Linked DNA regions of Anolis sagrei. The protein of the gene in region 1 interacts with the protein of each later gene in a pairwise test. Links are inferred from orthologs where the notes say so. Each region holds a gene or a part of one and is shown on either strand. Other genes may lie near its edges.

Region 1 (7,147 bases):
TTAACCCACTGTGCCATCGGGGGCTCCTTAATGGGCCAGCTAACACCTCCCAACAGAGGATTCCCTCAAGCAGTAGCCAGCCAGGCTTTGAAGCTGCAAGGCCATTCAATGCTAATCAAAGTGATCAATTGCAGCATTCACACTTACCTCAATCAGACAAGAGTTCTTTCTCCCACTCTGGACATTTTTCCAAATCTCACTTGCCTAGTTTCCAACAGACCCTTAAACCTCTGAGGATACCTGCCATAGATGTGGGAGAAACATCAGGAGAGAATGCTTCTGGAACATGGCCACACAGCCCGGAAAAGTCACAACAACCCAGTGATTCCAGCCATGAAAACTTTGACAACTCAAGAAAAAACCGAAAGGAAAAAGTGACAAGTGGCACGGAGTTCAATTACTTCATGACATCTTTCCGTGTGGAACGGACCCAAAAAAAGTATTTCTCAGAGAAAGAGGGAGAGACAAGGGACGCCAAGTCGTATGACCATTACCAATGCCTTCCTTGAGCAAAGGCCAAAAAACCTGGACATCGCCTCCGCATATACACACATAGGCCGACGCTGGCCCATTCATCCATTGGCCAAAGAAACCGAGGAAAGAAAGACAATGTGTTGTCGAAGGCTTTTCATGGCCGGAATCACTAGGTTGCTGTGAGTTTTCCGGGCTGTCTGGCCATGTTCCAGAAGCACTCTCTCCTGACGTTTCACCCACATCTATGGCAGGCATCCTCAGACGTTATGGGTAGGAGGAAGAATTCTTGTCTTTTTGAGGCAAGTGTGAATGCTGCAACTGATCACCTTGATTAGCAATGAATGGCTTTGCAGCTTCAAAGCCTGGCTGGTTACTGCTTAGGGGAATCCTTTGTAGGGAGGTGTTAGCTGGCTCATTAAATGCTAATCAAGATGACAAATTGCAACAGGGGAATTCCAGGCAAGAAACAATCAGGGCCAGCTAACACCTCCCAACAAAGGATTCCCCACAAAATCACAAGTCGAACACTTCCCAAGCGTCTAGGACTGTATGATGTATTTACAAATGATGTGTGGAGATCCAAGTCAGGTGGCTTTTTGCAGTTGACAGATTGTGGTGATATTATTATTATTATGGGACATGGCTGTACAGAAAACTCACAGCAACCCAGTGATTCTGGCCAGGAATGCCTTCAACAACAGACCTCACAGCCTCTGAGGATGCCTGCCATAGATGTAGGTGGAACGTCAGGAGAGAATGCTTCTGGGACATGGCTGTACAGCCCGGAAAACTCACAGCAACCCAGCGATTCGGGCCATGAAAGCCTTCAACAACAGACCTCACAGCCTCTGAGGATGCCTGCCATAGATGTGGGAGAAACATCAGGAAAGAATGCTTCTGGGACATGGCTGTACAGCCCAGAAAACTTACAGCAACCCAATGATTCTGGGCAGGAAGGCCTTCAACAACAGACCTCACAGCCTCTGAGGATGCCTGTCATAGATGTGGGAGAAACATCAGGAGAGAATGCTTCTGGGACATGGCTGTACAGCCTGGAAAACTCACAGCAACCCAGTGATTCCGGCCAGGAATGCCTTCAACAACAGACCTCACAGCCTCTGAGGATGCCTGCCATAGATGTAGGTGGAACGTCAGGAGAGGATGCCTGCCATAGATGTGGATGAAACATCAGGAGAGAATGCTTCTGGGACATGGCTGTACAGCCCGGAAAACTCACAGCAAACCAGTGATTCCGGCCATGAAAGCCTACAACAACAAACCATTTTTGGTAAGCAAAGGAAGAGCTAAACCTGTCTATTTGACATACCTGTCCAATGCAGTCTGAGGTGGCCGCATGTTCATGGTTTGTAGTCAAATCCAGAAGGCCGGGGTTGGCCAGCGGTGGATCCTTTGGCTGCTTGCACGCCTTTTTCCTTTGCGCAGATGCGGATTTTTATTACCAATCCTAACCACAAAGGAGGAAAACTAGTCTCTTGCAGTCAAGACGGCGGAGCCTTTGAGTCCATCCTTATATCCATGCAGCGTTCCAGGCTTTGGGAAAGTGGTTGCCCCAAAAAATAAAATAAAAAATACAAATAACTTTGCAAACCTTGTCCAAGGTTATCAATTCTGGGCCTTGGGGAAGTGGTTGCCCCCAAAAATAAAAATACAAACAACTCTGCAAACTTTGTCCAAGGTTATAAATACTACCCGGTGGAATAAAGACGCGTTCCCGTCCAAAACATTAAAGTCATAGGGATCAAAACATCCTAATAATCCAGTTTTCCCAGCTGTCCTTCCTGTTGGAAGAGGGAAGGGGGGACAATGGAAAAGATCTGTATTCCTGGGTCTCTCTCTGTGTTTGTGTGTCTTCAGGTTGCCAAAAAGATGCCCAATTTCACTCTCAAGCAGCCTCCCTTGTCCTTCCTTTGGGCTAATAAATAAAAAGCCATGCAACAAATCACTCCCAAGGAAAGAAAAGCAAAATACACATCATAATAATCATCATAATATTAATATTAATAATAATAAGGTAATTGCAAACTTCTTTTCCTGCCAAGGCAGGTACAGGATAGAGGACTAAGGGGAATCAATGAAGGGCTGAGCAGAGGACAGTGATACCCCCTCCTCCTCCTCTTCTTCTTCTTCTTCCAAAGCCCCAAGATGTCCTCCAAAGCGGTGGGTCCTTCCCCTTCTTCTTCTCCTCCTCCTCCTCTTGCTCCAGCTTGGCTTCGGGGTCCGAGGAAGAAGAAGGTCCTCCTTCTTCACCTTCCTCCTCCTCCTTTTCCCCTTCCCCAGTGAGGGAAATCCAAGGAGAGGCCTAGCGGGAGCGGCGAAGCCCCGGCCTCGCGTAGGGAGGCTCCCCGACCTTCCTCGGCTCCGGGAGGGGAAGCAGCACCGGTCTGGGAAAGGAGAGCCGAACCCGCAAGTGGCTTGGCTCCTAGGCCCGCCTGCCTGCCTGTTTTGCCTGCCCTTCGGTCCTTCTCCTCTCCTTCCTCCTCTTCCTCCTCCTTCTTCCCAGATAATCCCTCCCACAGCCGCCCTCCTCCTCCTCCTCTTTTCCTCCTCCTCCTCCTCCTCCCGCCCTCAGGAAGAGCTTCCCTGGCTCTGCAGCAGCAGCAGGTGGGAGGGAAGGAAGGGAGGAAGGAAGGAAGGAAGGAAGAGGGAGGCATCCCCACCATCATCCTCATCATCACCATCATCATCACCTTCATAAGGCATTTGCTGCCCTTCTCCTTTGCCTTCTCAACCCCCCATTTGAATGTATTAGTTGCCATCCTCCTCCTCATCAAGCCCCTGGAAGGTTCAGTATTGGTTGCCATCATCCTCATCATCAAACCCCTTGAATGATTCCTTCATGGCCATCTTCACCACCATCATCCTCATCATCAAACCTCTTCATACCATCATCATCATCATTATTATCATTATCAAGCCCCTTGAATGAGAACTTCATGGCCATCTTCACCACCATCCTCCTCCTCATCAAACCTCTTCGTACCACCATCATCATTATCATCTTCACCACCATCCTCCTCCTCATCAAACCTCTTCGTACCACCATCATCATTATCATCTTCACCACCATCCTCCTCCTCATCAAACCTCTTCGTACCACCATCATCATTATCATCATCATCATCATCATCAAGCCCCTTGAATGAGAATTCCATGGCCATCTTCACCACCATCATCCTCATCATCAAACCTCTTCGTACCATCATCATCATTATCATCATCATCATCATCAAGCCCCTTGAATGAGAACTTCATGGCCATCTTCACCTCCATCATCCTCATCAAACCTCTTCGTACCATCATCATCATTATTATCATCATCAAACCCCTTCGTACCATCATCATCATTATTATCATCATCAAGCCCCTTGAATGAGAACTTCATGGCCATCTTCACCACCATCATCCCCATCATCAAACCTCTTCGTACCATCATCATCATTATCATCATCATGAAGCCCCTTGAATGAGAACTTCATGGCCATGTTTACCACCATCATCCTTATCATCAAACCCCTTGAATGCATTAGCTACCATCCTCACCACCACCATCATCCTCATCATCAAACCCCTTGAATGCATTAGCTACCATCCTCACCATCACCATCATCCTCATCATCAAGCCCCTTGAATGATTCCTTCATGGCCATCTTCACCACCATCATCCTCATCATCAAACCTCTTCATACCATCATCATCATCATCATTATGATCATCATCAAGCCCCTTGAATGAGAACTTCATGACCATCTTCACCACCATCATCCTCATCATCAAACCCCTTTGTACCATCATCATCATTATTATCATCATCAAGTCCCTTGAATGATTCCTTCATGGCCATCTTCACCACTATCAGCCTCATCATCAAACCCTTTGAATGTATTAGCTACCATCCTCACCACCACCATCATCCTCATCATCAAACCCCTTGAATGATTCCTTCATGGCCATCTTCACCACCATCATCCCCATCATCAAACCTCTTCGTACCATCATCATCATTATCATCATCATCAAGCCTCTTGAATGAGAACTTCATGGCCATCTTCACCACTATCAGCATCATCATCAAACCCCTTGAATGTATTAGCTACCATCCTCACCATCACCATCATCCTCATCATCATATCCCTTGAATGATTCCTTCATGGCCATCTTCACCACCATCATCCCCATCATCAAACCTCTTCGTACCATCATCATCATTATCATCATCATCAATCCCCTTGAATGAGAACTTCATGGCCATCTTCACCACCATCATCCCCATCATCAAACCTCTTCGTACCATCATCATCATTATCATCATCATCATCAAGCCCCTTGAATGAGAACTTCATGGCCACCTTCACCACCATCATCCCCATCATCAAACCTCTTCGTACCATCATCATTATTATCATCATCATCAAGCCCCTTGAATGAGAACTTCATGGCCATCTTCACCACCATCATCCCCATCATCAAACCTCTTCGTACCATCATCATCATTATCATCATCATCAATCCCCTTGAATGAGAACTTCATGGCCATCTTCACCACCATCATCCCCATCATCAAACCTCTTCGTACCATCATCATCATTATCATCATCATCATCAAGCCCCTTGAATGAGAACTTCATGGCCACCTTCACCACCATCATCCCCATCATCAAACCTCTTCGTACCATCATCATTATTATCATCATCATCAAGCCCCTTGAATGAGAACTTCATGGCCACCTTCACCACCATCATCCCCATCATCAAACCTCTTCGTACCATCATCATCATTATTATCATCATCAAGCCCCTTCATGGCCATCTTCACCACCATCATCCTCATCATCAAACCCCTTGGTGCCATCCTCATCGTCATCATTATCATCATCATCAAGGCCCTTGAATGAGAACTTCATGGCCATCTTCACCACCATCATCCTCATCATCAAACCCCTTCGTACCATCATCATCAGTATCATCATCATCATCAAGCCCCTTGAATGAAACTTCATGGCCATCTTCACCACTATCAGCCTCATCATCAAACCTCTTCGTACCATCATCATCATTATCATCATCATCAAGCCCCTTGAATGATTCCTTCATGGCCATCTTCACCACCATCATCCTCATCATCAAACCCCTTCGTACCATCATCATCAGTATCATCATCATCATCAAGCCCCTTGAATGAAACTTCATGGCCATCTTCACCACTATCAGCCTCATCATCAAACCTCTTCGTACCATCATCATCATTATCATTATCATCATCATCAAGCCCCTTGAATGATTCCTTCATGGCCATCTTCACCACCATCATCCTCATGATCAAAACACCTTGGAGCCACACCCCCTCCCCCCACCATCATCATCAAGCCCCTAGAATGAGAACTTCATGGCCATCTTCGCCACCATCATCCTTATCATCAAACCCCTTGGTGCCATCCTCATCGTCATCATTATCATCATCATCAAGGCCCTTGAATGATTCCTTCATGGCCATCTTCACCACCATCATCCTCATAATCAAACCCCTTCGTACCATCATCATCATTATTATCATCATCGAGCCCCTTGAATGAGAACGTCATGGCTATCTTCACTACCATGATCCTCATCATCAAACCCCTTGAATGCATTAGCTACCAACCCCACCACCACCATCATCCTCATGATCCCCTTCATACCACCATCATCATTATCATCATCATCATCATCAAGCCCCTTGAATGAGAATTCCATGGCCATCTTCACCACCATCATCCTCATCATCAAACCCCTTGAATTATTCCTTCATGGTCATCTTCACCACCATCACCCTCCTCATCAAACCTCTTCGTACCATCATTATCATTATCATCATCATCATCATCAAATCTCTTCGTACCATCATCATTATTATCATCATCAAGCCCCTTGAATGATTCCTTCATGGTATCTTCACCACCATCCTCCTCCTCATCAAACCTCTTCGTACCATCATCATCATTATCATCATCATCAAGCCCCTTGAATGAGAACTTCATGGCCATCTTCACCACTCTCAGCCTCATCATCAAACCCCTTGAATGTATTAGCTACCATCCTCACCACCACCATCATTCTCATCATCAAACCCCTTGAATGATTCCTTCATGGCCATCTTCACCACCATCATCCCCATCATCAAACCTCTTCGTACCATCATCATCATTATCATCATCATCAAGCCCCTTGAATGAGAACTTCATGGCCATCTTCACCACCATCAAACCTCTTCGTACCATCATCATCATTATCATCATCATCAAGCCCCTTGAATGAGAACTTCATGGCCATCTTCACCACCATCATCCCCATCATCAAACCTCTTCGTACCATCATCATCATTATCATCATCATCAAGCCCCTTGAATGAGAACTTCATGGCCATCTTCACCACTATCAGCCTCATCATCAAACCCCTTGAATGTATTAGCTACCATCCTCACCATCACCATCATCCTCATCATCAAGCCCCTTGAATGATTCCTTCATGGCCATCTTCACTGCCATCATTCTCATCATCAAACCCCTTGGTGCCATCCCCACCACCACCATTATCATCATCATAATCAATCCCCTTGAATGATTCCTTCATGGCCATCTTCACCACCATCATCCCCATCATCAAACCTCTTCGTGC
Region 2 (7,148 bases), on another chromosome or scaffold:
GCAGTACGCATGCCTTTGTTGATAGTGTCTATCCATCTTTTCTTTGGCTGTCCACGTGGTCATCGTTCCACAATCTCCAAATATAGTGCTGTTTGTGCTACTGGTGCTGGTTCTAATATCATGACATGGCCATACTACCATAGTCTTGCTTCTTGCATTTTCTTGCAAATTGCTTTTATTCCTAGTCTTTGACTGATGTCCTCATTTGGCACATGGTTAAGAAGTGTCAAGCCAAGTGTCCATCTCAACATTTCCATTTCCATTGTGTTAAGGGCTTGTTCATGTTTCTTTGTTGCTGGCCTCTTAAAGTGCCTCTTAGCCTTGAGTTGTTCAGGCATTTTTGTGTCACACAGAATGCTAGTAGTTTGCTGCCATATGGAGCAGGCTGCATTTATTCATGACCGTATGTCTGTGGAGACCAGTGACCCTAGGTATTTAGATTGGGTGGCCTTCTTTAGTGCTTGCCCATTAATTTGAATTGTTTTTCCAGTTTGAAGGCCACATTCCAGATACCCATGTCTATTCTACAGCAGAGGTGCACATCAAGAGTTTTTCCCCCCATTGATGGAAGCTTTGTTGTTTTAACACTTTTTGTTTTTAAAGAAGCAATTCTAAGCAGGCAGCCACTGTAATGAACACCTTGGGGGGGGGGGGGGGGGCAAATTTCAAAGAGGGAACTTTTGCCACTACACAAGTCAATTCACCAGCAAATGCTCTCTTTTTTTGTTTCAGGGTTTTGAAAAGTGAGGTGCGAATTAGATTTGGATACAGATCTGAAGCAGCAAGGAGTACAAGCAGAGTGCATCAACATCATCCAAGCATGCTATAGTGAATGTACAACAACACTAATGCATTTCAAACAAGAAGTTGTTATATCTGTAGAAAAAGGTGTATGCCAAGGTGATCCCAACCTTTTTCCTGCTGCTCTGGAAAGTGTAAAAAGAGGCTGTAATTGGTTGAACAAAAGTATACTCATCGATGGGCACAGGCTTAATATCATGTGCTTCATCAACGACATAGTTTTAATCATGCATACAGAAGATTCAGAAGCCTGCAGCATGTTTAGCGAGCTTTGTAGCAGAAGTCGGTCAACTGAATTAAAGATGAACACACAAGAGACAAAGGTATTCTGAAACAACTTCGCAGATGCTGCTGCAATGACAGTAGATGGCGTCAACCTCGAAAATGTAGAATATGTCTACCTCGGAAAGCTGTTAACATCAAGATATGGACTGAAGCCGGAGTGGAACAGACACAGGAAAGCAGGATGGGTTGCTTACAATTCCATTAAAACTGCTATGGACTCAATTGAAAGTACATCTGTATGAGCTCAATTGTTCGATCATGCTACTGCCCCATGCTATGGTGCAGAGACATGGACAATGACGAAGGCTCTCTCAGAACAACTATTGGTCACACATGCCACCCGCAAAAAATGGCTCATTGGGATGTCTCATTGAACTCAGAGAGAACATGGACTGCACAATGAGGATGTTCAAAAAATATCAAAAGTGAAAGATCCTCTACGTTGCCCAATTCAAACATCGTTTTGCAGGACACGTGATGCGCAGAACAGGTGCCATGACAATATGGTACCTGTGGGGATGGAAGAGACCTCTTGGTTGTCCTCCCACCTGATGATCTGACTCATTCTGTATGGTGTATAATGTGAGGGATGAACATGGTTGCACAATGGTACACTGGTCAACTTATGCTCGAAATAGATGTGAATGGAGGTGATTAGAGAAGATGTTGTGATCTTCTGTTGCAGCAGCTCCACTGGCTGCCAGTCTATTACCAGGCTCAATTTAAAGTACTAGTTATGACCTTTAAACGCCTAGGCGGTTCGGGTCCAGGATATCTGGCTGACCGCATCCCCTTGTACCCACCTCCTTCGGCCCTGAGATCTTCAGAAGAGGCCCCTTTCTTGATCCCACCTCCATCTCAAGCTCAATTGATGGGAACGAGAGAGTGGTCTTTCCTTCTCGGTGGCTGGCCTTTGACACTGGAACTCCCTTCTTCCCAGGGAAGCCAGAAGGGCCCTCTCTCTGCTGTCCTTCTGGTTGCAGGCTAAACCATTTTATTCAGACAGGCATTTAAAGATTAAAGTGTTTAAGATCTAGTTAGATGGTGCTGTGTAAGATGTAAGAAAAGTAAGATGGTCTACATTTCCTTGTGAATTATTATTAGTCAGAGGGTGCTGTGGTTTTTAACTTTGAATATGTTTTGATATTCAACTGAATATATTTGGTGCACAGCCATCATTGTTTGAGTCTGCAGTGCTTTCTGGATGTAGGTGAACTACATCTTCAAAACTCAAGATCAATGCCCACCAAACCCTTCCAATGTTTTCTGTTGGCCATGGGAGTTCAGTGTGTCAAGATTGGTTCAGTTTCATCGTTAGTGGAGTTCAGAATGCTCTTTGATTGTAGCTGAACTGTATATCTCAGCAAGTACAACTCCCAAATGACAAAATCAATCCCCCCAACCAAACCAGTATTCAGATTTGGATGTATTTGTGCAAAATTTGGTCCACTGAATGAAAATATATTACAATTCTTAACACTCGCAATATTACAGTTATGAAGTAGCAATGAAAATAATTTTATGGTTGGGGGCCACCACAACATCAGGAGCTGTATTAAGGGGTTGTGGCATTAGGAAGGTTGAGAAACATTGACTTAGGTTGTGAATAAGGGAAGAGACCACGTGGTCCAGAGAGAAAGGAGGAGAGGGTTAGGATAAGGTTTGGGGTTAGGGTTTGGGGTAGGGTTACGATTAGGGTTAGGGGTTAGGTTTTGGGTTAGGATTAGGGTTTGGGTTAGGGTAAGGTTTAGGGCAAGGGTTAGGGTTTGGGTAAGGGTTTAACCATGAAAGAACTCTTACATTCCTTCTATAATATCTGTGTTCCGTTCTGCATTGCGCAAACAGTACTCCCGAAGTGGAAACAGTGTAACCTTCGGAGCAGGCCCGTAGCCAGGATTTTGATTCGGGGGGGGGGGGGCTGAGTCTGAGTGAAAGAGGGTCTACCCTAGCAAAGCTTTTGTTTTGTTACCCCAATGCCCCCATGCATATGAGATATATTGAGCATGGTGATCAGATCATGATATGAATAAACATAACAGTTTAAATAATGTACCAGTAAGGCCTTTTCACAGACCACCATGAGAATTTTGGGGGGGGGGGTGAAGCCCCCAAAGCCCCCCCCCCCCCCCCGCTATATGCCTGCTTCGGAGCTTCCGGACCAGCTATCATACTATCACCCATTGGTGGAAGCCCCTGGTGGCAGGACTGAAGATTGACAAGTCGCAGGTTCAAATCTGGGGACAGCACAGATGAGCTCCCTCTATCAGCTCCAGCTCCTCATGTGGGGACATGAGAGAAGCTTCCCACAAGGGTGGCAAAACATCCGGTCCTCCCCTGGGCAACGTCCTTGCAGATGGCCCATTCTCTCACACCAGAAGTGACTTGCAGTTTGTCAAGTCGCTCCTTACACGACAAAAAAACAAACCTAATGGTGGCTTGTTCTTGGTCTTGCAGCTCTTCTGATGCCTGTTTTGGAGTACCCATTGGCCTGTAAAGCGCAGTTCAGGCGGTTCAGTTCACCTTGGAGGAGGTGGGGTTCGCAGGTTGTGTCTTAAAGGGAGAGAAAGTGGGCTCTGCATAGGGCTAACCACTTAGCATCATAACGTCACTGTCACAGTGTGGGCACACAGGTCTTTTGGTCGGTTTCTGAGGCTCCTGCTTGGCCTCAGGACCCCATTGTCCCTCTCTCCCTTTCCACGTCAGGCGAGGGGAAACGAAACGGTGCGGTGTGAGGCAAAGGAGAGCGCCTTGCAAGCGTTGGGGACAAAGGTCTTTCTGAGGTGGAAGGAGGAGGAGGGCGAAGGCAGGGAGGAGGCGTGTTTGTCCGCTCCGAGCGCTGCCTTTGTGGCGGCGAGGCTACAGGTGCGCCTGGGCCCGCCTTTTTTCCTTCCTTCCTTCTCGGGGCAGGGCTGGCAGCAGAGAGAGAGAGAGAGAGAGAATGGGGAGAGAGGCGGGCCGAGCCGTCATGTGATGCGCCCAACGCGGGCTGGGCGGCGTGCCTTCCCTCCTCCTCCTCCTCCTCTTCCCTCCTTCCTTCAGTCTGAGCCTTCCCTCTCCTCCTCTCCGCCGCCGCGGTTCCTGCTCTCCCTGCGGCTCCTCTTGGATATGGACAGCGCTTCGGCGGCGGTGCTGGCCGGCGCGCCTTGCCTCCTTCTCCGGGGGCGGATGCTCGGCTGAGGAGAGACACAAGGAGGAAGAGGAGGAGGAGGAGAGGCGGCTGAGGCTGAGGCAGCACACAAAGGCGCCCCCTCCCTGCCCCTCAACTTGGGTAAGTTTCCCTCCCGCTTCTCTCTTCCTTCTTCCCTTCGCCCGCCTCTCTTCCCACCTGTTGAAAGGCTTTTTGGAAGGGGACGAAGGCGTGCCCCCCTCCCCAACATACAAACAGCCCCCCCCCCCTTGTAGGGCTTGCGGAGGGCGACTTCCAGCAAATGGCGAGCGAGGGAGTTGCCCCCGAGTGAGTCCCTTCTTGCTCTCTGGAAGGAGGCCCGAAGTTGTGGCCACTGCTCGCCTCGTTTGGGAGCGGATTCCCCACTTTTCTCTCCCTGGCTTCCTCTCCTCCTTCCCCGGCTTTCCCCCTCCCTCTTTCCCCTCTATCTCTCCCTCCACAGCCAACCAAATCGGAATGTCTTCTTCCTTGTTTGCAAGAGCAGATGGTTTCCATTAAGGGTGAAAGAAAAAAAAAAAAAAAAAGGAAAAGAGAGCCCTTTGCCTCTCTCTCTCTCTTGGGCTGAACCAAAGCCTGTGTTGGCGAGCGTTACTTAGCAGCCGGCGTTTGCAAAATGTGAAACTTTCCCATGGATTGTTGTCTGGTTTTCCCCCCTCTTCTGATCGAGCTAGTATCATTTTTTATTTCTGATCTTTTATTATCTGTCTACAATCGACACTGGTGGGTTGCTGTGAGTTTTCCGGGCTGTATGGCTATGTTCCAGACGCATTCTCTCCTGACGTTTCATCCACATCTATGGCAGGCATCCTCAGAGGTTGTGAGGTCTGTTGGAAACTAGGCAAGTGAAGTATGTGTATCTATACACCTCTTTTGTTGGGAGGTGTTAGCTGGCCCTGATCGTTTCATGTCTGGAATTCCCCTGTTCAGGGCCAGCTAACACCTCCCAACAAAAGAGGTATAGAGATACACATATTTCACTGTGTTAGCTGGCCCTGATTGTTTCATGTCTGGAATTCCCCTGGTCCAGAGTGAGAGAAAGAACTGTTGTCTGTTGGAAGCAAGTGTGAATGTTGCAATTAATCACCTTGATTGGTATTGAAAGGCTTTGCAGCTTCAAAGCCTGACTGATTCCTGCCTGAGGGAATCCTTTGTTGGGAGGTGTTAGCTGGCCCTGATTGTTTCATGTCTGGAATTCCCCTGTTCAGGGCCATCTAACACCTCCCAACAATAGATTCCCTCAGGCAGGAATCATCCAGTCTTTGAAGGTACAAATGCCATTAAATGCCAATCAAGCCGGCCAATTGTAACATTCACACTTCCAACAGACAAGAGTTCTTTCTCCCACCCTAGGCATTCCACAGATATATGGCCATGTTCCAGAAGCATTCTCTCCTGACACTTTGCCCTTCATCTATGGCAGGCATCTTCAGAGGTTGTGAAGTCTGTTGGAAACTAGGCAAGGGAGGTTTATATATCTGTGGAATGTCCTGGGTGGGAGAAAGAACTCTTGTCTGTTGGAAGTGTGAATGTTACAGTTGGCCACTTTGATTGGCATTTAATGGCCTTTGCAGCTTCAAAGCCTGACTGATTCCTGCCTGTGGGAATCCATTATTGGGAGGTATTAGCTGGCCCTGAGCAGGGGAATTCCAGACATGAAATAATCAGGGCCAGCTAACACCTCCCAACAGAGGATTCCCTCAGACAGGAATCAGTCAGGCTTTGGAGCTGCAAAGGCTTTCAATGGCAATCAAGGTGATTAATTGCAACATTCACACTTGCCTCCAACAGACAAGAGTTTTTTCTCTCACTCTGGACTGTCCCTAGATATATAAACCTCCCTTGCCTAGTTTCCAACAGACTTCACAACCTCTGAGGATGCCTGCCATAGATGAAGGGCAAAGCGTCAGGAGAGAATGCTTCTGGAACATGGCCATACAGCCCAGAAAACTCACAGCAATCCAGTGATTCTGGCCATAAAAGCCTTTGACAAGACACTAGTGGAGCTTTTCTGGTTTGAGCAATGTTAAGGAAAGATCCTGCCTTGAAGGTGGGGCATGGGAGAGAGACAGGCAAAAAGGGCACCCTCTCCTTTCTAATACCAGGCTTTTTTGAAGTGTTTTGGGAAGGGAATCCTCTTTCAGTTAGTGAGTCTTGAGACAGACAAGTTGGCAAAAATGCTATCATCCCCTTTTAGTACCATCTCAAATGCAGAAGTGTTGGAGAGAGATCATCCTTTAAGTTAGTGTCTGTGTTCCAGAGAGGCAGACAGATAGACAAAAATGCCACCCCACCTCCTTTGAATACCAGGCTTCTGAAATATAGAAGTGTTGGCAAGAGATTATCTTTTAAGTTTGTGTGTGTGTGTGTGTGCGTGTGCCAGAGAGGCAGGCAGATTGACAAAAATGCTACCCCCACCTCCTTTTAGTACCAGGCTTCTGAAATACATAAGTGTTGGCAAGAGATCATCTTTTAAGTTTGTGTGTGTATGTATGTGTTGGAGAGGCAGGCAGTTAGACATAAATGCCACCCAACCTCCTTTTAGTACCAGGTTTCTGAAATACAGTGGTGTTGGCAAGAGATCAGTTTTTAAAGTTTGTATGTATGTATGTGGCAGAGAGGCAGGCAGATAGACAGAAATGCCACCCCCACCTCCTTTTAGTACCCGGCTTTTAAAATATAGAACTGTTGGGGAAATGTGATCTTTAAGTTTGTGTCTGTGTGCCAAAAATGCCCTCTTTTAGGACCAGGATTGTGAAATATGGACTTGAGTTTTGTATACCACGCTATGACTGTATCCTCAAGAGTTTCATAATTGCCCATGCACCATTCAGATGATTAAAACCCAAGCACTCACAACCCATTTGTTTTCTTTTGTGGCGTGTGTGAATGACCCTCC

What was found. The genes of interacting proteins can lie anywhere in the genome.
Region 2: the proteins of ARHGEF11 (region 1) and PLXNB2 interact in a two-hybrid assay, tested with the Homo sapiens proteins (2 studies listed by BioGRID). The link is inferred for Anolis sagrei from reciprocal best matches to the Homo sapiens genes ARHGEF11 and PLXNB2.

What each region holds. Positions count from the first base shown.
Region 1 is NC_090032.1:11,724,080-11,731,226, reverse strand, and holds the start of ARHGEF11 (rho guanine nucleotide exchange factor 11), read right to left. Parts: upstream 3,020-7,147; 5' UTR 1,837-3,019; coding exon 1,802-1,836; intron 1-1,801. UniProt on the Homo sapiens protein: May play a role in the regulation of RhoA GTPase by guanine nucleotide-binding alpha-12 (GNA12) and alpha-13 (GNA13). Acts as guanine nucleotide exchange factor (GEF) for RhoA GTPase and may act as GTPase-activating protein (GAP) for GNA12 and GNA13.
Region 2 is NC_090025.1:125,303,195-125,310,342, reverse strand, and holds the start of PLXNB2 (plexin-B2), read left to right. Parts: upstream 1-4,083; 5' UTR 4,084-4,354; intron 4,355-7,148.